Cricetulus griseus: one gene and its partners. The protein of the gene in region 1 interacts with the protein of each later gene in a pairwise test. Links are inferred from orthologs where the notes say so. Each region holds a gene or a part of one and is shown in the gene's direction. Other genes may lie near its edges. The genes, in order: Med4, Amot, Kifc3, Txlna, Tnfaip8 and Ushbp1.

Region 1 (2,702 bases):
CTATTTTCTCAACTCAGGTGCTATCTCCTCAGAAGAAATCATTAAATATGCACATAGGATTAGTGCAAGCAATGCTGTGTGTGCACCACTGACTTGGGTTCCAGGTAACATTGCTTCTTATGTCAGATTAAAACTATTTAAATGTAGAATGTACTTCTCTAAAACAACATCTCTAGGCATTTTTTTTCAGTGTCCTAGTAATGCCCTCTGTGGCATCTCTCAAGAGGATGTATCATTGTTGATGTTTCTTACTAGGAAATAGAATTAAGTTGGAAGAATTGAGATTGCTATAATTCGCCTACCTCTGCCTCCTGAGAGCTGGGATTAATGGACCATGCCCAGCTTGAGAATTTTCAATGCAGCCAGGCTAGGTGTGGTACTGTAAAGGCAACACCTGGAGAGGCCGAGGCTGGATTGCAAGTTTGAGGCCAGCATAGGCTACATAGTGAAAACCCTGTCTCACAAAGAGCTTGAGGCTTTCAGTGTGCACCAAGGAAAGTTAATACTTCAAAGAACTTATCTTTTGTTTTTTTAAACTTGAGTTAAAAAGCTGCCTTCATTGTTGTTTTAGGAGACCCTCGGAGGCCGTACCCAACTGATTTAGAGATGAGAAGTGGATTGCTGGGTCAGATGAACAACCCTTCCACGAGTGGTGTGAATGGCCATCTCCCAGGGGATGCCCTTGCAGCAGGTAGACTGCCAGGTAATGCTGACAGGAAGGGTGTTTTCAAGCAGACCAAGGGTTTTCAGAGGTGCCAGCGAGGCGTTGTCTAACATCGAACTCTTGAGATCCCAGGCCCAGCCTTATTCATCTACTTGTTTGTCCAGGGTCCCTGCCAGTTTGTTATTCTGTGCTTGCTTTAGCCAAAGACCCTGCAGTGGCATTGCATGACATGAGCCTAAGCTGTCCCCATGTGCATCTCCTGCCACCCTCCCCCCAGCACAGGAGCTTTCCTTGATGACAACGAAGAACATTTTCCATCATGAGGCGTGCTCCCCAGATAGACTAAGCATTTTTGTAGGTGCCATGTTGTAATGTAAAAGGATCTTTCTAAAGAGAAAGGACATGAGTGGGGGCTATGCTTTCTGAAGCCCATTTTTAGCTTTAGCTATCTCTTCTGTACTAAAGTGTGGATTTGGGAACTCTGTGCTTATTAATTCCCAGACATTCCTTGTCTTTCTCATTGCAGTTATACTACACTGTTGGTTATAATCCTTTTAAGACAAACAACACCAGTAATTTGAGTAGGAAAGTTGAAAGGATTAATTAGTAACAGATATGGATGAATAGCTATTATGTATAGGACCATGGCACAGGACCCATGGCTGGGGTATAATGGACATAATTTGTTGTTTGTGTGTGTTTAGCATGGATGGGCCCCTATCTTGTTAGACCTCTGGTACTACAAGGTAGGCGGGTAGATAGAATTAAGTTACTTGCATAAAGGGAGGGTGATTGACAAGTAGATGGATTACAAGTAAACTGATCCCCATGCTTCTTTCCTCCAGATGTCCTTGCTCCACAGTACCCATGGCAGTCAAATGACATGTCTGTGAACATGCTACCACCAAATCACAGCAGTGACTTTCTGTTGGAGCCTCCTGGGCACAACAAGGAAAATGAAGATGATGTGGAGGTTATGTCAACAGACTCTTCAAGCAGCAGCAGCGACTCTGACTGAAGAAGGCGTGAGAGCACGCACAGACTAGTGCTGCAGAGCCCTGACAAGAGGGACATGTAAACCCCAGACCTCTAAGGAGCAGCCCACTGAAAACCATTTGGGGTTCTTTTCAATGCCCCCCCCCCCCATTTTGTCTCATCTGCTAGGCAAACGTGTGAGGATTAGTCAGCATTACTACTTTGGTTTGCACATAGCAGCTCTGGAAGTGAGGCTGCAGGAGAATGACACAACTCTCGGGAATGACTTGAAAGGGCACCAAGCCAGGCGTGGCGGCTCATACCTATAATCCCAGCACCAGGGAGACAGGGATTGCTGTGAGACCTTCATAGTAAGTTCTGAGCCATCAGGGCTACAGAGCAGTCCGGGCCAGCACAAAGGCAGCGGGGCTCTGAGTGTGGTATTTCAAAGTGAAAGTGCTCACCTGAGAGTCGGCTGCTGTTGCAGCGACAGAACTATCACTATTTATATGTGGTAAATACTGTAATTTGTATAAATAAACTTGCTTTTGTTTATTTTTTAATTTTCCTGTTGTCTGATTTATGTATGTATGTATGTATGTATGTATGTATTTTGGTACCCCTTCAGTATAAGAAGGAAATTTACTTAAATCCAGTTGCATCTAAGCTGGGCAGTGGTAGCACATGCTTTTAACTCTAACACTCAGGCAAAGGCAGGCAGATGTGAGTTGGAGGCCAGCCTGATCTACAAAGCCAGTTCCAGGACAGCCAAGGCTACACAGAGAAACCAGTCTTGAAAAACAAAAAAATTCAGTTGCATTTTATAATATTCAAGTAAGATTCTGTTATATATCAGAAAATACAAGATAAAATGACTATATCTTAACTAGTAATCACAATTAGGTTTCTGAGAACATTAATAATTGAAAACATTTATTACAATCCCATACCACACAGACACACAATTTCATGGAAGGTTTTAAAATAGAAGGGTTGGGGGAGAGCAACCAACCAACCTTTGGCCTTGTTGTCCTGCAAAGTTCTTGAGGACTCCAGAAGACCC
Region 2 (3,500 bases), on another chromosome or scaffold:
ATGCCATGAGCATTACTTTGTACAAGAGGAATTTTAAACGACTGAGCAATGAAGGTGGAGATAGCCATCTTAAGGTTTTCATACTTACCTCAGAGGTTATCTGGTTTCATCTCCAAGGGGATCATAGCTAGTGAGCAGTAGTAGCTGTTGGACAGAGTCACAAAATGTCTCGGTAAGAATGAACTCTAGAGTTCTTTCATGGGGATCTAATTCTTCTTCCTTCTCACTTCTCTGAATTTGGGGGATATCTCCTTGTGTTATTTCATGTGCCTTGGGAGCAAACTTAACCAGAGCTTGCCTTCTGTGTTTTCTCAGGACAACACAGGACATCTCGCTGTCTTTGGCAGCAAGGAATTCTCAGCCTCACAGCCCGACATCTTCCTCTACATCTGGGAGTTCCTTGCTGCAGTCTCCACCATCTACCAGATTGTCTCCTGCTCAACACGCCTTGGTCTCAAACCAAGGTGACCATTCTACTCACCTGCCAAGGCAGCAGCAGCATTTTCTTCCTAATCAGAGTCACCAGGGGGACCACTATCGTCTCTCCCAGTCCACGTTGCCTCCTCCAACAGCACAGCAGCAGCCAGGAGAAGCCTACTCAGCTATGCCTCGGGCTCAGCAGTCTGCTTCTTATCAGCCCATGCCAGCTGATCCTTTTGCCATCGTCTCTAGAGCTCAGCAGATGGTTGAGATCCTCTCTGATGAGAATCGGAACTTGCGGCAGGAGTTGGATGCATGCTATGAGAAGGTGGCGAGACTACAGAAGGTACGGCTCCCCTTAAGGGTCAATAGAGACTTCTTTGAATCATTCTAGTGGGAGTTGTTAAATACCCGTTAAAAAATGTTTCATCTGTGTGTGCTTACTATCTCTTACGGGTAGATCTTTGACATTCTTTTTTTGATGTTGGTCAAACTTTAGAAAAAAAGCTTTATCTGCCTAAGATAACTGCCTTTTACTGTTTTTATTATCATACATTAATGATACAAAATAATGGATTTCATGATAAAATTTTCACACATGCATATCATGTACTTTCATCAGGGTCACTCTCACTTCCGTCTTTTGTCTCCCCCTTTCTTTAAGAGAAGTAACATGTTACATTTATACTAAAAGAAAAATACTACAGATGTTCCAAACTCTATAACTCTTAAGAAAACTTAGTTCATTGTCCTAGTCAAAAAGTCAGCAGATATACTTCTTAATAATGAGTATTAGTAGGTCTGTGCTCATGGAAAGCCCGCCAGCATTTAAACGCTTTTTGTCTTGTTTATATTTTCCCCATATGATTTTGAATCGAGAAAAAAATCCCACCAGCTGAGATTTTGTATGGTTCAGGAAGAGACTGACAGTGTTCTTCCTTGTGGTAGTTTTCTTCATAATTCTTTGACACTAGCCCTCTTCCCCACGTTTGCTTTGGTCTTTCTCCACAGATCCACTTCAACATCTGCTCCTTCTCTGGTGTGTGTGTGTCTGTGTGTGTGTGTGTGTGTCTGGGGGGGGGTGCACAAAAGGGATTTAGCACCACAGCTGGGTGACAGGTGACAGCCCTAGGCAGAGGAAATAGAAAAAGGAATGTGTGTCCCAAATTCCCATTCCTTCTTCTTCCCCTTACCCCCACTGTCTGCTGTAGCTGGGACTTTAGTTTTTGAGGGCCTCAAAGCCCAAATCTCAGTTCTTGCCTTAGTGGCTATTAGTAAATAGAATTATGCATTTGTTAGCTTCTTTGTAGCTTTTGGCCATGCAGAGTTCATGTGGCATGATCTCCTTGCAAACTGTTAAGGAAGTTCGAGGCTGAAGGCGGGGAGGGAAGGACAGTTGCCCTACTCTGTCCCTAAGACATAAGAGTGGAAATTTCAGGGGCCTGCATGAAGCTGAGAACTTGCCAACACCAGATCTTTTACCTAAAAGAGAAGAGGGCTAATTTTCCATAGTTAAGTGGTTTTTATATAGTGAAAAAAAAAATGCCCCCTTTCTCAATTTCCTCAAATCCAGTTGAAGGTTATGATGGATTGAGAGCTATTACTTTGTCTTGATTTTATGTTTTCTTGTCAGTTTGAAAATACCCCTTATTGCATTAATGGTGTACATGTACATGAATTTTGTGTATTGACTAGAAACCCTGTTTAGCTGATTAGACCTCCCCTAACTTTTAATTTGGGTTGGCCTGGCCTCATCTTTGACATAATCACTGGTTACTGAGCTCAGATCTTCTTTGTCAATGATCTCTGGTGACACTTGGAGCTGGGTTGGGTGACTAGTGCAGGGAGCAAAATCGGAATTTTGTTTATTGTTTGGTCCTTGTGCAGATGTATGTCAGAAAATGACAATTATGGCTTGCGCGTCTGCAGAAACAGTTCCAAGCCAATGCTGGGGTTCACAAAAGGTGACAGGAGGGGAGAAGAAAATGAAAGTAGATGGTAGAGCTAGAAAGAAGGAAGGTAGGAGGAAGGGGGAAGGGGGAAGGGGGAAGGGAAGGAAGGAGAAAAAGAAACAGAGGAAGAAAGGAGGACAGACAGAAAGAAAAAGAAAAAGGGAGAGACGAGAGAGAGAGAGAGAGAGAGAGAGAGAGAGAGAGAGTGAGAGAGAGAGAGAGAGAGAGAGCGGGAGAGCAAGCGAGCACTGGAGGCTCCTGAGGACAGAAAGTAGAATTAGCAAGCCCTAACTCCCAACCCACCCCACCCCCACCCCTGCCACTCTCCCTCTGTTTCACCTCTTCCATCACCCACACCGAGTCAGTGAATCTGCCTTTATTGGCCTTTCTGAGAAGGCCTTGTTGCATGGCTCTTTGCAAGAGGACAGTATCTCCACAAGGGAGAGGGGAAGGATTAGCAACACCAGATCCTTCCCAAGCAGGCTGTGCACTTGGAGAAAAGGGACTGTCGTCTAGGTGAGGCTTCTGGGCTGTAAGCAGGAAGCCTCCCTCACTTGCTCTTGGCTGACTCTTGCAGACCAACACCAAGCCTGCTCTTTCAAATGGAAATGTTTATTTTTCTCCTCTCCAGCACTTGAATTTCATGCAAAAGCCTCATCAGGCACAAGCCCTGCAGATCTTGTCTCTAAATGCCATTCACCAGTTTTCACCTTCTGTGCTGCTATCTGGGTGCCATCTGCAAGGAGAACAACACTCTCAAGTCTGCTCTTTTCAGTGCTGTAAGCCTCATTTGTTTGCAGGCAGTCCTGTCTCCAGCAGGATTTTGAAGATGGGGGCAGCTGGAATGGGAGTTGATTGTAACTGCGCTGTGTCTCCTCCCCCATCCTCCATTGGGCGCTTGTTTATTTCACCCCCTAACACACCCTGAGCTTTGTTCAAGAAGAGTGGCAAACTGAGAAGAAATGCAGGGTGGTTACAGGAGGAAGACTTAATTTGAAAATTGCTTAATAGGCCATGGGGTTTATTTGTCTTATACAAATTATATGCAAATAATCGCCGAGGTCATTACACGTGCACTGGAGCTGTACTGGTCACAGAAAACCTCTGGAGTCTGATTTCTTGTTTTCT
Region 3 (3,970 bases), on another chromosome or scaffold:
CAAGACAATGTTTCTGCTTTTATACTCAAACTTTAATGACAGACAACCCCCTACCCTATGAAAAGAGCCTCCAATAAAGGAGACAATGCATGCTTCCAGCTGGGGCCTAAACCCTTGTGCCTGTCTTGGTTCAGATTCTTGACTCCCAGTCGCATGTCTCAGCAGCAGAAGCAGGAAACAGCTCATCTGAACTGTTCCCTCATAAGCCATCCTTGCCAAGCCAGAAGGGGCAGACCCCCCATGCTTGCTGCTTGCTTCGGAGGTTCTCTGGGGATCATCAGCTTCTGCTGGTTAGGCTCCTGCACCACTTTCTCCTTCCGCACCGTCGAGTGGGCACACTGTGGCTGAAATAAATGCTTCTCTGTTTGGGAGACAAAGAACAGAGTGGTTCCTCTGGGTCAGCTGTCTCTCTTGCCTGGCTGGGCCTGCTCTCCCCCAGGCTTCTTCTGAGGCTCCCAGGCGTTCCAGGAGGAGCGCTTAAGGCAGATTGGGGGCTGTTGCACTCTGAGCTGTTTGGCTGGAGCTTAAGGGAATGTGTTACCTTAAGGAACCCCAAGCAGGCTTCTCAAGAAGATGCTCATTGGCTGGGGAGCAGGGGCGCAGCTGGAGAGACAGTATGGCAGGCAGGACCAAGACAGAGAGAGTGCATGCCCGTGTACCAGAACAGGTCAACGTGTGTATATGTTTGATCTCGTGTGCAAGAGCATGCGTGAGTGTGCTAGAATGAAAAAAATGCATTCTTAAAATGTTATTCTGTGTGCCGGATGTGTGTGAATCTTAGCTGGAGTGTGTGAAACTTCTGCACCTGGATTAGGGGCAGAGTGCCAACCATTTGAGGGTGAGTGTAACCAAATGTTAACACCTGGGTGGGAAGGCGAGGCCTGCGTTCCTGCAGGCTGGGTAAGGGCAAGTGTGCAGGCACTGCGGTGTGTGCAGGCACTTTGGCGTGAGCCTTCTCCAAAGGCGCAGGCAGGTGTGCTGGGGCGCGTGCACCAGAGGGAGAGCGCAGAAGTTTTATCAGCCTGTGTTGGGGGTAGGAGTAGAAGGGGCATGCGCCCCGGGCAGGCGCGTGCGCGAGAGTGAGCGTGCCCCCTCCCGAGCCCGTTGCCATGGAAACGCGCCGCGGCCTGAGTTAATCATTTCCTGTGGAAAGTGCGGGAGGGGCGGGCGCGGGGCGGGCCGAGGAGGAGGAGGCGGCGGCAGCTGCGGCGGCGTGGAGCAGCCTCGCGAGGGCGGGCCGTAGCTGGCCGAGCCCTGGGCTCTGCGGCGACGCTGTGATCCTGTCTCCGCTAGGCCGGTGAGTCGGGGTCCGGGCAGGCTAGGACGGGTTGGGACCGGCTCCCCTAGCGCGTCTGGTGGGCACCGCGCCCACCCTGCCCGGGGACCCCTCTATCCCGATCTACGGAGGGCGCGGCGTCCGGGCCCGAGAGAGACCCGGCTGTGCGTGGGGTCCCGTTGCATCCTCCAGCTGAAGAATCTCGCTGGGCTTGAGGGTGGCACGGCCTTTGGGGTCGCGCTGCCTGGACTCGCTTTGGATCTCATTGGTGGGGAATGTGCAGAGCCTACCTGGGAGCTGCGTGTCAGCCAGCGCGCCCCCTTCCCCTGCATGGGTCGCTCCCAGGAAGGCTGCAGTTTGGCCCTCCCTCTGGGTCCCTGGGTAGTTGCTTTCTCTGGCCAGGCCCAAGGTGGGGTGCGCCAGTCCCTAGGTTAGGAGGAAAGGCATCGGAGATAACCCTCACAAGCCCAGACGAATCAAGTCATTGACAGCTGCAGCTGAGGAATCCCGGCAGGGAGGGGGAGCCCAGAAGCTGTCTGTCCCCTTTCAGCCTTCCTACTGCAAGTAAGAACGGAATTCTGGCCGACACAGTGAAAGGCCCAGTCCTGAGACAGTTTAAAGAGGAAACTGGATTTTAATTCTTAAGTACATTTGTCACCCCATCCCACCCTCTTTAATGCATATGTCAAGCTTGGGCATTGGAACTACCCCTAGCTTCACCTTCCTTAGTGTCCTTCTGCCCCAGACTGGGCGAGTGCCCTTTCTGGCCTGGTAGGATTTTTTCCCCTGTGCCCTTCATAAAGGGGCGTCTCCTTGGCCAGAGAGAGTCATTTGCTAGGAATGCAGCCCCAAAATGGTTCTGTGTATTTGTGGGGCTGGACTTCAGGATTTGGGGTGGTGAGTTCTGCTGTCCGGATGGGTTCCAGGGAGCAGGGAATTTGACATCTGGATTACCCAGAATATGTTCTGTGTGCCAGGGAAACCCTAGCCCAGTCTAGCCACCCCAAAATGCTCACCCAGGAGAACCAGGCTATCTCCAGCAGTGGTGTATAAGCGACTATGAAGTATACCCCTAGTCTTTGCACTGTCTCTGGTCTAGAGCAGGAGGAAGGCAGCTCTACCATCCTGGCCTAAACCCAGAGAGACACATACCCCTCCCCCAATGTGCCTCTGCATTCACCCACTAATGGGACAGTACACCAAAAGATAGCATTCTGAGCTCTTTGTACACTTCACACATGTATTGTCTGATGTTCATGCCGGTCCTATGAAGTGCAGCTCTCACCATTTTATACATGGAGGTGATAAGACAAAGACTAGGTGATTAATTCTCATAGGTGGCAGGGCCAAGGCCTGGACCACTCTCATAGATCTACTCCATGAATTCCAGATTAGTAGAGGCTCCAGGACCCCAGATAAGACACCTGTGTAGGAGAGCCTGCGCTGCTGTCTCGGTGTAGAACCCTGGGCTTGATTGAGATTCCCTGATATTCCTGACCTCACACCAGGGTTTCCAGCTGCTAAATTCAGCTGCCTTTTCCTCTTGGGGATCTAGCACACACCCTTCCTCTTTCTTCAGGCTGCCTCTCCAACTTCCCGTCCTGCTGGCACAGAAATATGGTCTCCAGCCTCTACCTCCTAGACTGAGCTGATGTCCCCTAGAATCAATCCTCTGTCCTACGTGGTCTCCCCTGTAGGAGCACCTGCAGAGGACGGTCCTCTCATCATCCCCCGTTGGCTATAGGGTTGGCTCTATGCCCAGCTCTGTGCCAGTCAGCCTGGAGAGGACATTTGTATCCATTCTTCTTGCTTCTTCCCCCTTACACACATCTCAAGGCATCAGCGCTGTGAGGCTACTTATATGGGTCAGCATCTTCCTTACCCTTTGTCCCACATTCCTGTCCCCCTCTCATTGTGTACCCCACATTGTCTTCAGTCAAGGAAGGAAGAGACCACGACCCCACTGTCTTCAGTACTTGACCCCGTGAGCATCAGTCTCTGACCCCAGACTCTTTCTTTTCTCCCCACCTTGCTTCTAGATGCTTTGTTCCTGCACCTCTGTCTACCCCACAATGCCACCTCTCCCCTGTCTCAGTTCCTCTCCTAACCATCGTCGCTAAACTTCCCCCAAAGAAGAAAACAGCTGCCTTCTAGGCCCTCTCCAATTCCTTGAGCCAATTTGAACTTGCTTTGCAGCCTAGGCTGGCCTAGAACCTGCAACCTTTGAGTGCTGGGATGGTAGGTATAACCCCCCACCCAGAATTCTCTAGGGCTTTCTTTGGCTTTGCCATGACCACCTGACTATCCTACTTATCTGCCCAGCTTCTTCTGAGGACTCTGTGCATGACATAGGCAGCTCCTGCCACCTCTCTGACCTCCTCCCTCTTCCAGTTACTGTTCCCACCCCTCCACGCCCTCTTCACCCCAGCCTTGTCCTTACTTAATACTGTCTCCCATCTTGGTCAACCTTGCTGATTTCGTCCTTACCTGTAGCAGTCGTGGCCTTTAGTTCTGAGTCTTAGTGGCTAGCCGGTCCTCCTTTCCTGGCTTTGGGGTGTGTGTGTGTGTGCGTGTGCGCGCGCGCGCGCGCGCGTGCGCACATGCATGCATGCATGCCTCTCACTCGCAGGGAGCCAGAGAGGGTGAGAGAGACAGACCCAGTTCAACACATGTTCTTGCTGCCTGGCAGGAGAT
Region 4 (4,114 bases), on another chromosome or scaffold:
ATAAAGAAAAGCAAAGACAAGAAAATCCTACTTTTTAAAACTTTAGCCCGTGTGCAAGCACAAGAGACTTTGCAGAAAGTGGAGCAGCGGTGATGGAGTGGGAGTTCACCAAGTTGCCGGAAGCCAAACTCCCTCTGCTACAATCCCTTCCTGAGAGAGCTACTGCCAAGCTGGTGATGACAGAGGTGTCCAGTACACTGCCTCAGAGAAAGCCTGTGACGGCGATTATTTCTTCTGGGAAGAAAGTGGTTAAGATGGGTGCTGGTGTCAGGCTTCTGGCTTTGAATCTGCTATTACCACTCAATATTGATGCAGCCTTAGATTATATAACCTTTAGCTGGGCATGGTCGCCTTTGTCTTTAGTTCAAGACCAGTTTGATCCTCATAGGGAGCTCCAGGTCAGCCAAGGCTACACATAAGGAAACATTGTCTCCAACAGACAGCAAGCAATTAAAAAAGCCATCTCGCCTTTTCCATACTGTCCTATATTTCCTAGATCACAAAGTATCCTGTACTTTCTCCGAGTAATTATGAGGGCCAAGCTATTAGATACAAGAAGAGAAGACAGGGGCTAGAGAGATAGCTCAGAGGTTAAGAGCTCTTCCAAAGGTGCTGAGTTCAATTCCCAGCACCCACATGGTGGCTCACAACCATCTGCTATGAGATCTGGTGCCCTCTTCTCATGTGTAGATATACATGGAAGCAGAATGTTGTATACATAATAAATAAATAAAATCTTAAAAAAAAAAAAAGAATAAGAGAAGACAGTGACGCCGGGCTTTGGTGGCGCACGTCTTTAATCCCAGCACTTGGGAGGCAGAGGCAGGAGAGTTCGAAGCCAGCCTGGTCTCCAGGATGTGCCAGGATAGGCTCCAAAGCTACACAGAGAAACCCTGTCTCCAAAAACAAAACAAAAACAAAACCCCTCTGTTGGAATGGGGGGGGGGATAGAATGCCAGGCACATGACAAATTACTGGTTTAGGAGTGGAACAAAGGTCTCCTAATTCCCAGCTCAGCCTTCTATCCCTCTTCGAGTCCTCAGAGGTCCTAGAAACAGTCATACACGTCCACAGGGATCAATGGAGAAGCGTATGAAACAAACAGCCAAGCGCCAATCACAGCTTCTGCACTCGAAAGGATACTGACGGGAATCTCTAGACTGTACTGCAGAATTTCAGACCTGCAGCGGGTAGAGACCCTAAAAAGGGAGGCATCTCGGGAATTGTGCCCCGCCGCAATGCATGAAGGGACTCGTAGTTCGTTCCCGCTCACGACTCCAAAGCCACCTTGGCCTCGTCTTTCCCAGCAAGCTCCGCGCCAGCGTTAGCTCTTCATTGGCTGCGGCAGGAGCGGGCGGTCCTGCTGGCAGCGGTTACCCGGGTTTCCGGTGCCCGGCCAGAGCGGGGGACGCCATCGGACGTCCGTGGTGAGGTACGTCTGTTGGCGGTAGGTGGGACGAGCTCTTCTGAGGGTCTGTGGCCCAGCTTGCGTTGGCTGCAGAGGAATAACTAATTCCGTGCGGGGGTCTGTGGCGATGTCGCCGCCTTGCGCATGCGTCCGTGGGGCTAGAGGGCGCGCGGGGTGTGGGTGGCTTCCGCGCGGGCTGGCGGGCGGGCGGGCGCGCGCGCCCGGGGGTCCCACGTGGGGCCGGGCCGGGGGCCGGTGGGGGCTGGAGCGTCCCGCCACGTCATCGTGCGGCGGGGAGCCAATCCCGCGCTCGCGTTCCGAGAGGGAGCGGAGTGGTGCTGCTGGGAAGTGGCTTTCGGGAGAAAGGAGGCCTCTTCTTCACTCTCCTCAGGGCCAGCTCCTCCGACACCCTCCCTGCAGGGACCCTCGAGTCTCCGCCAAGGCCGGCCAGTTTGTTTGAAGCTTGGAGCGCCTGGCGTTGGGATTTCTGATCTAGGTTGTGAAATTTTTTGAAGTCTTGAAAATAGCAACTGTGTCGTCTTCAAAGGATCTACCCGTTTTCTGCCTTTGCAGATCACAATGAAGAACCAAGACAAAAAGAATGGGCCTGCCAAACACTCCAACCCGAAGAGCAGCCCCGGGCAACGGGAAGCGGCACCAGAGGGAGCCCAGGGACGGCCCAGACAGACAGCTCCTGCGGCGGAGGCTGAAGGTTCCACAAACCAGGCTCCTGGGAAGACCGAGGGTGTGTGCCTGCTCTGCTTTTCCAGTGGGCAGAGGGAGGAGTTTCTGGGACTGGCCTCGGTGCTGAGGCCAGTGTTTACCCAGGAAGGAGGAACTATGGAATGAAACAATACCCATTCTGTGTGGGTCTCGTGTTTCCCAGGCAGGTGATGAAGCTTCCCTCCCTTAGCCCTGGAATGGAACCTTGGGAGCATGCTCTGACTGGTTTAAATTAAATGACAACTGAGGCACCCCACAAACAAAGTCATGTTCCCAGAAAACACTTGCCAGTGTGTGGGGGGGGGGTAATTGTCCTTCATACTTGAGACATTTCTGGAACTATAAAAATAACCAAAAATGCGTTTTGAGTAGGAAAAAAAGGAATTAGAGGTGGAGTCTCTACTACATGCCACCCAACCCTGGTGTGGTGCTTTATCTACATAGTTGTCTTTTTTGTTTGGTTGTTTGGTTTTGTGTTTTTGAGACAGGGTTTCTCTGTGTAGCCCTGGCTGCCCTGGAACTCTGTAGACCAGGCTGGACTTGAACTCACAGAGATCCACCTGCCTCTGCTTCCCAAGTGCTGGGATCAAAGGCTAGCACTATTACTTCCCAGCCATAATTGTCTTTTATGGTCATAAGAAGTATGTTTGGGTGATAATAATTGTATCATTTTATAACAAAGTAAACTTAAGGTTTGAAAAAATTAAACTGAGGCTCGGCGTAGTGGCCCTCTCTTTTAGTCCTAGCTCTTGGGAGGCAGAGGCAGGTAGCTCTCTGACTTTGAGGGCAGCCTGGTCTACATAGTTCCGGGACAGTCAGGGCTCTGTAGAGAGATCGTGTCTCAACCAAATAAAACAACATTTATCCCAAACTAGTGTATTTGTCTAGGGTTAAAGAAAAAGAAAGTTCAAGCCAGGGATGTAACCATCTTATTTTCATTCTGTGTCCTAATCTTGTTGCTGTAGGGGCTCAAGCTAAAGCAGCCAAGTCTGGGCCCCTGTGTGATGTGTCTGAGGAGCTGAGCCGGCAGCTGGAAGACATTCTGAGTACATACTGTGTAGACAACAATCAGGGAGGCCCAGGCGAGGAGGGAGCACAGGGTGAGCCTACTGAGCCGGAAGATGCAGAGAAGTCCCGAACCTATGCAGCAAGGAATGGGGAGCCTGAACCAGGGATTCCAGTCATCAATGGCGAGAAGGAAACCTCCAAGGGGGAGCCAGGCTCAGAAGAGGTCCGAGCAAGTGATGAGGTTGGAGACCGAGACCACCGAAGGCCACAAGAAAAGAAGAAAGCCAAGGGTCTGGGTGAGAGGGCAGCTACTGGTGAGGGGAGGGAGTTAAGACCTGTCATTTCATGAGCTAGCCTGCTCTGTCAGAACTCAAAGGAATCTGCTTCTCAAAACAGAACATCCCCCAGTTTAGTCAAAGCCATGACTGTGGAGTAACAGCATTGAGCTGTTCAGATTGCTCACCTGGGCAAGGCCTCTTGTCCTTGGAAGCAAGTGAAGGCAACCTGCTCTTTTCCTGTGGACATGTTCATGCTCCACTCCTGGGTCTTAGTTTCCCTATTTAGAAAGCAACAAAATTGGGCTACACCAAGGTAAAGATCTCAAATGTCAACATTAACCAGGTAAACCATGAACCTCTTGAGAATGAAGAGAGGGTCTACTTTATCCAAAAAATTAACTTCTACCTGTTTAGTTCCCTGCCTTCCCCCCCTCCACCCCCCCCAGGGTTTCTCTGTGTAGCTTTGGAGCCTATCCTGGCACTCGCTCGGGAGACCAAGCTGGCCTCGAACTCACAGAGATCCACCTGCTTCTGCCTCCCGAGTGCTGGGATTAAAGGCGTGCGCCACCAATGCCCGGCTGAGTTCCTTGCTTTCTTTTCTTTTTTCTTTATTTTTAAATTTATTTACTTATTACATATACAGTATTCTGTCTGCATATTTGCCTGCATATCAGAAGAGGGCACCAGATCTCATTTA
Region 5 (3,988 bases), on another chromosome or scaffold:
CAGACCCCTTCGCTCTTCATTCCTCTCTCTCTCCAACTAAATTCCAGATTTCAGCTCAGTGTATATTTGTGGATGTCTGTCTCTGCTTCCATCAGCCACTGGATGAGGACTCTAGTTCCTGGGTCGGTCGGCGGAAAGCCACTTTGTTTATAGTACCTTCTGCAATACCAGCCAAATGTGTGAATTATATATTGTTTTTATCTGTGTTTTATAGATGAGCAAATGGATGCTTGAGGGGTTAATTATTATTAATTATTATTTTGCTTAAGGCCATATAAATAATAAATAGCAGAACTAAATCTAAACCCAGATTTGAAAAACATGGGCACTTTGCATAATCCTTTCATTAAATTTAGCATAGGTCCTGGACCGCTCTCTCCCCATATAAAAGTAAGATATAAGGAGAAGGAGGGCAGCTGGAAAATACATTTCTTAAAGAATGTACCTCTCCTCACAATCTCCAGCTGGGGATTCCTTCCCATTGGCTGTTTCCTTTCAGGTTCCTTGAGGCCCCTCACCCTAGGGTTGGTGCTAAAACAAGGTTTGATAAAATAAATACCCCGCAAGACAGGGAGGCCAGTGGAAGCGGCTGTGCCCACCTCTCTGAAGGGCAAACAGGGGCCACCCAGAGCTAAGAGGACTTTGGTGGTAAGAGCCAGGTGGGGACGGGAGGGGAGGGGAGGGCAGGATGGTTGCTGTTCCCTGGGCCCTCCTGCCCTTTGCCCGTTTATCTTCTGTCAGTCAGCATTTCCCAAAGCCAGAGAGGTCTTTAGGGACCAGCAGCTTGGTTAGAGGGAGCCAGCGATGCATAGGGGGCTTCTGCCTCGCCTGTCCTACTTTCCTTAGAGGCCATTTCTGGCGCTGGTGAAGTTTGTGCCCTGTGAACGGGACCCTTCCAAATGTTCTCACAGCATCTGTATCACTAGCCTGAAATACAACAGCCCTGAAAGGGTTTTCATAAATCGGGCCATGTAAAAACTCAAGACGGGGAATGTCAAAAATGTCACTCTCCACACCCCTCCCAAATGCAGCGCAAGCTTGTCCCGGTGCACTTCTCTCCAGGGCACCTTTCCTGCGCTGGGCCCCACCTGCCGGGGTCTCCTCCACCCGCGGCGGCCCCTCGGGGGCGGACTGCTGTGGCCCAGCCCCGCGCGATTCGTCACTCCTGCGGAACTTTCCCCTGAAAATCCCTCCCGCAGCCAGCCGCCCGCCCCGGGAGGTTCTGATCTCAGCGGCTTCCTCCCACCGCGTCCCGCCTGCGCGCATCACACTCGTCCCGGAGCCTCGCAGCCTCACGTCCATGTCCGCGGTGGTGGCGCCTGTGGCTGTGCACCCCGACAGCATGCTCTCCGAGGTGGAGGAGCCCAAGGAAGGTACGCCAGCCGCTGGGCTCAGCCAACTTCAGCGCAGGAATGTGGAGGAAGGCGGGAGCAGGCGCTGATGGGAGCAACTAGCGAGCAGTGGGGAACTTTGTCTCTCCTCAGGCTGGCTGGATTCAAGAGAGTCCAGGGAGCAGCCCTGTCCCACTAATCGGGCAGTTAAGGGACAAGGGATCCAGCATCAAACCTAGCCAAGCCAGCCCACCAAAGCTGCTTTTCAGATTTCTCTCGAAAGGAGAAAGCGGGCTTTCACTGTTAAGAATACAAAACGCTCCTGGAATGGGCTGCCTGTCCGCCTGCCTGGGGACAGCCCAAAGCTGGATTCCCAGGAAGAGTCCAAGTCAGGGTCCCTTGAAAAGGGGTGTCAGAAATTGGAAGGGACATGCATTTCCGGGTAAAAGAGGAAGCTGGATGAGGAGAGAAGTGAAAGATCTTTTTTTTTTGGGGGGGGGGGATATGTTCGGTTTTTATTTATTTATTTTTTCCTTGCTACCTCTTCTGCAGTTGGTTTTGCTGGGGACTGGAAGATGTGAGGGTGCCTTTTTACCATTTGAAATAGGAAAGTTTGTCCCTTTCTGTCTTTGGAAAAGCAAGAGTTTCATTTACTGCTAACAGAGCTGGTGACAGGGCTGGAAAAGCTCCAACCAAAACACTATTATAGCTGGTGTTAGCTTGGGAGTTTATTTGTGTGTGAGTGTTTGTGTGCTTTGTTTCCTGGAACTTTATATATACAAAAGTCCACTTGTGAATGGGGGTTGGAGTCGGGGTGGTTGGGGAAAATTAGACGGGTGGGGGGAGTTCAAGGTTGTGAAATCCCCCTTTCTTTTCAAGTAGCTTCTTGGGAGACTGCTAACTTACAAGTCAGTCACAGCTCGGGCTGAGCAAGGAACCTTCTGCGTTTTGCAATGTAGGCTTTCCGTGTGGCCCATGTACCTAGCAATGTGTGTGAGAGAAACTGTCAATTGAAAGGGGCTTGTTTAATAGAAATACTGGCCAGCCCGCATGAAAAGTGACAGCTTTGGAGAGGAGTGTTTCCCTGTAGCAGCAGCCCCTGTACCAACAGAGAGTGCGGATGTGTGTTTTCTTGTTCTGTTTTGTGCAATTTACGCGGAGTCAAAAGGAAATTGGAACTGGACTGAGAAACCACTCTTGAACTTTTTTGTAAATTGCACAGCGCTTAGATTAACATTTTCTTCCGGGCCTGTTATTCCCTGTCTTTTGGGAAAGGAGTGGAGGGGGGAGTGAAAAACTGCCAGGTCAACTGTATTAAGCCTCCCTCTAGCAACAATCCACACTCTCCCCTCTCTTTGCTGGCTCTGGCTGTGAGTTTGCAAGCAGCAACATGGAAACTGTGGTGTAGTGGGCACCTTTCACTCCTTCCATTCCTTATCTGCCCTTGCCTGCAGTAGCTACCTGACACACAGGCTTTGCTCTCTGCATTTTAGAGGAAGCTCAGAATATGTGTTTCTTTTGAATCAATCTGAGCTGCTAGAATTTTAAATTGATAGAAGTTAGGGTAAGATTTTCTTTTTTAACTAAGTCTGAGGAAAATTAATGACCAGACTGATTGACACTTCTTCTAGGATGTGTGTGTGTGTGTGTGTGTGTGTGTGTGTGTGTGTGCGCGCGCGCGTGCCAGGCTGGTATTTTGTGGGTTCTAACCTTCTCACCTCCCTTCACTTACAGTTTATGGGGTTCTTTTCCCTGGTGGCAGACTTGTCTATCTTGTTTAGTGAGAGGTCACCAAGAGCCCTTCATACTGTCTGAATTGAAAGAAAGTTGCCTTTGGATGCTTCATATCCAATCTGTTGTAGTGGTGGATACTTTGGATTCATTATTCCAAACCCTAGTAAGAGACTAGTGTACTTTCATTGGGGTTGAATCTGGAAAAAAGACCATCAGATGTAGAAGCCCTTAGAGGCCAATTTATTTATGCATGTGCATGAGTGTCGACGACTGTGACTGGGGAGATTGTTCAGCTTTCATAGCTTAGAATGCACTTGACTCTGTGCCAGCAGTAGCTCCCGCCTATAGTCACCTAAAGAAATGCTTTCATTCTGCCTGCTTGTCGGTAGGTAAGTGACTGAGCTTAAAGTGATAAAAACAATCCAGGATCTGCTATATGAAAAAGGAAAAGCATTTAAGATATTTAGACATAAAGTAAATGGGAAGTAGCCAGTTTATTAAGGAGGAGAATGCCTTTGAAAAGAGGATATCAACAGTTTCCTGTGGATACAGGCTTCCTGAGGAGACAATTAATATCCACATATTTGGCATTTAGTTGCTTCCTGTTGAATACATTGCTTAATTATGAAAGTAGTAAAAATGAATGATAGTTGAGATCACTGAGGATGAGTTAGACATAAGCACTGAAGAATCCAAGATTCCTTTGCCTTGGAAATCAATCGGGGTTTCAGTAGTGGTAATGCAAAAGCTATTATTGCTTTGTGAGGACCTGGGAGAGAATTAAGGGCTGGCAGGCAAGTGAGTACCACTCTCTCCTCCATTGCCCACACCAACCACTTCCCTTTACCACCTAACATAGGTCATTACTGCCTCACCAGTCCCCACCATGAGCATGGTGGCCATTAGACAATCTTCTGCTTGCA
Region 6 (3,500 bases), on another chromosome or scaffold:
AGTCTGATCCCCCATCACCTGCAGGTGCTGGAGCTAGAGGATTCCCTGAGGCAGCTGGAGGCCTCCCCGGCTGTCCTCCTCCTCAGAGCGGGGCATACCAACAGCAACTCCAGCAGTTCTGGGGCAGAAGGGGAGCCCTGGGTGCCTCAGGTAAGCCAGAAGTCTTTAGAGCATGTCGTGGTGATGTCCTCTGCTTTTCCAGTGTGAGAGGATGGGGGTAAGCTTCAATTTGTGCTTGATGGGATCCCATAGTGTTGTGTGACAAAACTTTTCCTGGGGAGACACTATACACGTCAACTCATCCCATATAGGGAGCCCATGTTACACAAAAGCACAGACACAGCCAAAGTCCAACTTGGTGGTTACATACAGGATTACGGGTGAAGGGTCACCTACAGGAGCTGAAATGACTCAGAGAGCTGCATCACCAAAGCCCACCCCAGCATGGGTGACAGCTCACAAAGCTGGAAGCCTGGAGCACACTGCACAGCCTGCAAATTGGAGTATGCCATTCCAGTGACTGGTCTAAATCTCTTCAGCACAGCTGGTCTGGTCTCTAGTCTTCTTTGCAGCCAATCAGCTGGTCTCTTAAGAACTTTCCTTACTCTGGCAGGGAGGGACCTAGTGAATCTGCTCAGTTTCAGGGACTTCCTGAAACTGTTTGGAGTTGTTTATCATCCTGCCTAAGGAGCAGGTGGAATGTTTCTATCTCAGAGGAAACTGTTAATACAACACATAGTGTGAAAAAAAACCTAAGCAGAGCCTGGAGAGATGGCTCGTTGGTTAGGTGTGCTAGCTGCTCTCACAGAGGACCAGATCTAATGCCCAGAACCCAAATGGCAGCTCACAATCATTAGTAATTCTAGTTTCAGGGGATCTGACGCCCTCTTCAGGGCTCCACAGCCACCAGGCATGCACATGGTGTACACAGAAACTTGCAGGCAAAACACTCACACACATGAAATAAAAATAAAAGAGAAAAAGCATAAAACACCAGATTGGTTGTCACCCCACAGTCACCAGCTGCTTAGGGGCCTGAGACAGAAGGATCGTGACCAATAAATTTATCAAGACCCTGTCTCCAGATTAAAAAATAATAATAAGCATTGGTGAGATAACACAGCTGGAAAGGGCACCTGCTGCCAAGCCTGGTGATCTGTGCTCAATCCCTGGAATTCCCAGAGTGGAACCAGAGAACTGAGTCCCATAAGTTGTCCTTTGACATCCATTCATGTGTCATAGGCATACATCCCACACACGTGTGCATGCACACACACCAAAAACACAAACCAAAGCTGCAGTGGTGCCCCAGATATATAATATGTTCCAGGGCCCTGCAAAAAGGAAGAATGATGGGTAGTAAATCAAGTCATGTACTCCTGGCAGGACTCCCCCTTGGCTCATCCTCTTCTCCAACCCCTCCAGAGTGACTCTAGCACCCAGATCTTTGGGTGCCATTCCAAACATCGTTCAGCCCCCGAGATGCACCTTATAGAAGATCAGATGGAGCAGCTCCAGGGGTGAGTGGCTGAGTCACAGCTGCTGAGCTTTTAAGGGCATCATGCTTCCCGCTACTGGGTTGTGAGGGGGTGGGGAAGAAACTGGGATCTAGCTGATTGGACCCTCACTCATCTTCCCTCTTGCCTGCCTTTGGAGATAGGAGCATTGAGAAGTTGAAGTGCTTCAATCGCCTCCTGCTGGCTGTGCTCCAGGGCTACAAGGGCCGCTGTGAGAGCCTCAGCATGCAGCTGGGCCAGAGGGAGGCTGAGGCCACAGCCCTGCGCCTGGCCCTGCAATATAGGTCTGTGTCTGCTACCAATGATGGTGGTGGCTGGGGACGAAATGGGGCTGCATCCCAGGATGGCCCTATGCAGAGGGACATGGGGACTTCAGAAAGCACACTGCCTCACCATGAGATCTTGTTCTAACCCATAAACTATGGAGGGTGGGAGCTGTCTTTTTGTGGTTTGTTGCTATATATTTATTTGAGACAAGGTCTCACTGTGTAGCGCCAGCTGGCCTGGAACTTGCTATGTAGCCCAGGCTGGCTTTGAACTCACAGAAATCTGCCTGACTTACTGGGTTGGGGCTGAATGTTGAAACACTCAAATGCCATCCACAGTGAGGATTGTGAGGAGGTATATGGGGTGCTGCTTGCTCTGAGGATGGCTGACTCAGGAGCTGGAGATGAAGCCCCCAAGAGTGACCTGCAGGCTGCTGAGAAGGAGGCAGCTAGGCTGCTGGTGGAGAAGGAGGCAGCTATGGATGGAAAGACACCCCAGCCCAGGTACTTACAGGAAGCATAAGAGCTATGGTGGTCCACGGGGTGGGGTGGGGCATGTCCCAGAGCCTGCTACATATAGGATTTTGATGTCATTGTCACTGTCACTGCCCAGGGAGGTGCTGAGTTCATCATGGCTGGCACCAGGCCTGACTGGAGTGTGTTAGTTACTCAGTGGTGCTTAGTTTGCCTGACACCAGGTGTGGTGACAACATGCCTTTGATCCCAGCACTCAGGAGGCAGAGTTTGAGGAGTTCAAGTCCAGCCTGGTCTACATAGCAAGTTCTAGGCCAGCCTAGACCTTGCCTCATATGTGTGTGTGTGTGTGTGTGTGTGTGTATACATATATATGTGTGTATACACACATATATATATACATATATACATACATACATACATATCTTATACAAAGTACCAATTGCCTTGCATAGATGCACAGACCCTGGTTTCAACCTCTAAAGCAGGGGGGGAAATCAGTGAAGAGAAAAATTATTAATTTTGGTCAATCCATCATGGCAACAGGAAGTGGGAAGCAGAGCTACAGGAAGTGTCCGGGGCATTGGTGAAGCCCTGTGTGGACTTGACAGGGTTAGCAATACAGCTCTAGGTACTGTCCATCACAGTGCTGGTGAGCTTCTGGTTTTGTCTCTGCACTGCCAGTGCAGCCTCAGTGTGCACGGAATTAAGTTCAAAGTCCCCTGGTGGCCTGATTAGCATGTAGGCTCCACCACCTGGCTATGTAACTGAGGGTGATGCTCCTGCCTCCATCTCCTGAGGCTGGGTTGTATATATGGTACCTCACGAATGCAAGCTCTCTATGGACTGAGCAACAAGCACTCTACTGACTGAGCCCCAGCACCTGCCATATTATCTTGCTGGAAGATTGCCCAGCTGGCACAGGACTGTGGTGGCTCCTCGGGCCGTGTCTTGGGAACAGCTGTATAACACCTGTCTCCACCTGTCTCCTATAGCCCAGGGGGCAGCAGTGTTGACAAGCCTACGCCACAGGAACTAGCTGCTCAGCTCCATGGCTATGTCCAGCGTCTCCGGGAACGCTGGGCTCTGGTGAAGATCCCTCCACCTCTTGGCCCTGCCACGGCACCCAGGCCCACTATGCCCCACACAGAAGCAACAGTTCAGGCCATTCTGGAGATACAGCCTGGCCCAGCCCTGCCCCGGCTAGAGAAGTCTGAGATCCAGCAGAAGCTGGTGGCTATTC

What was found.
Region 2: the proteins of Med4 (region 1) and Amot interact in binary tests that used the Homo sapiens proteins (3 or more experiments, as listed by UniProt). The two-hybrid records come from large-scale screens. The link is inferred for Cricetulus griseus from reciprocal best matches to the Homo sapiens genes MED4 and AMOT.
Region 3: the proteins of Med4 (region 1) and Kifc3 interact in binary tests that used the Homo sapiens proteins (3 or more experiments, as listed by UniProt). The two-hybrid records come from large-scale screens. The link is inferred for Cricetulus griseus from reciprocal best matches to the Homo sapiens genes MED4 and KIFC3.
Region 4: the proteins of Med4 (region 1) and Txlna interact in binary tests that used the Homo sapiens proteins (3 or more experiments, as listed by UniProt). The two-hybrid records come from large-scale screens. The link is inferred for Cricetulus griseus from reciprocal best matches to the Homo sapiens genes MED4 and TXLNA.
Region 5: the proteins of Med4 (region 1) and Tnfaip8 interact in binary tests that used the Homo sapiens proteins (3 or more experiments, as listed by UniProt). The two-hybrid records come from large-scale screens. The link is inferred for Cricetulus griseus from reciprocal best matches to the Homo sapiens genes MED4 and TNFAIP8.
Region 6: the proteins of Med4 (region 1) and Ushbp1 interact in binary tests that used the Homo sapiens proteins (3 or more experiments, as listed by UniProt). The two-hybrid records come from large-scale screens. The link is inferred for Cricetulus griseus from reciprocal best matches to the Homo sapiens genes MED4 and USHBP1.

What each region holds. Positions count from the first base shown.
Region 1 is NW_023276807.1:228,022,090-228,024,791, forward strand, and holds the end of Med4 (mediator of RNA polymerase II transcription subunit 4), read left to right. Parts: intron 1-17; coding exon 18-104; intron 105-571; coding exon 572-703; intron 704-1,509; coding exon 1,510-1,682; 3' UTR 1,683-2,202; downstream 2,203-2,702. UniProt on the Homo sapiens protein: Component of the Mediator complex, a coactivator involved in the regulated transcription of nearly all RNA polymerase II-dependent genes.
Region 2 is NC_048604.1:35,457,639-35,461,138, forward strand, and holds part of Amot (angiomotin), read left to right. Parts: intron 1-315; coding exon 316-766; intron 767-3,500.
Region 3 is NC_048596.1:171,341,685-171,345,654, reverse strand, and holds the start of Kifc3 (kinesin-like protein KIFC3), read left to right. Parts: upstream 1-1,170; 5' UTR 1,171-1,297; intron 1,298-3,970. UniProt on the Homo sapiens protein: Minus-end microtubule-dependent motor protein. Involved in apically targeted transport. Required for zonula adherens maintenance.
Region 4 is NC_048595.1:23,392,968-23,397,081, forward strand, and holds the start of Txlna (alpha-taxilin), read left to right. Parts: upstream 1-1,314; 5' UTR 1,315-1,432; exon of another isoform or gene 1,433-1,447; intron 1,448-1,981; 5' UTR 1,982-1,987; coding exon 1,988-2,153; intron 2,154-3,096; coding exon 3,097-3,435; intron 3,436-4,114. UniProt on the Homo sapiens protein: May be involved in intracellular vesicle traffic and potentially in calcium-dependent exocytosis in neuroendocrine cells.
Region 5 is NC_048595.1:188,304,521-188,308,508, reverse strand, and holds the start of Tnfaip8 (tumor necrosis factor alpha-induced protein 8), read left to right. Parts: upstream 1-1,188; 5' UTR 1,189-1,300; coding exon 1,301-1,373; intron 1,374-3,988. UniProt on the Homo sapiens protein: Acts as a negative mediator of apoptosis and may play a role in tumor progression.
Region 6 is NW_023276806.1:247,616,872-247,620,371, reverse strand, and holds part of Ushbp1 (Usher syndrome type-1C protein-binding protein 1), read left to right. Parts: intron 1-24; coding exon 25-150; intron 151-1,386; coding exon 1,387-1,520; intron 1,521-1,660; coding exon 1,661-1,801; intron 1,802-2,122; coding exon 2,123-2,287; intron 2,288-3,252; coding exon 3,253-3,500.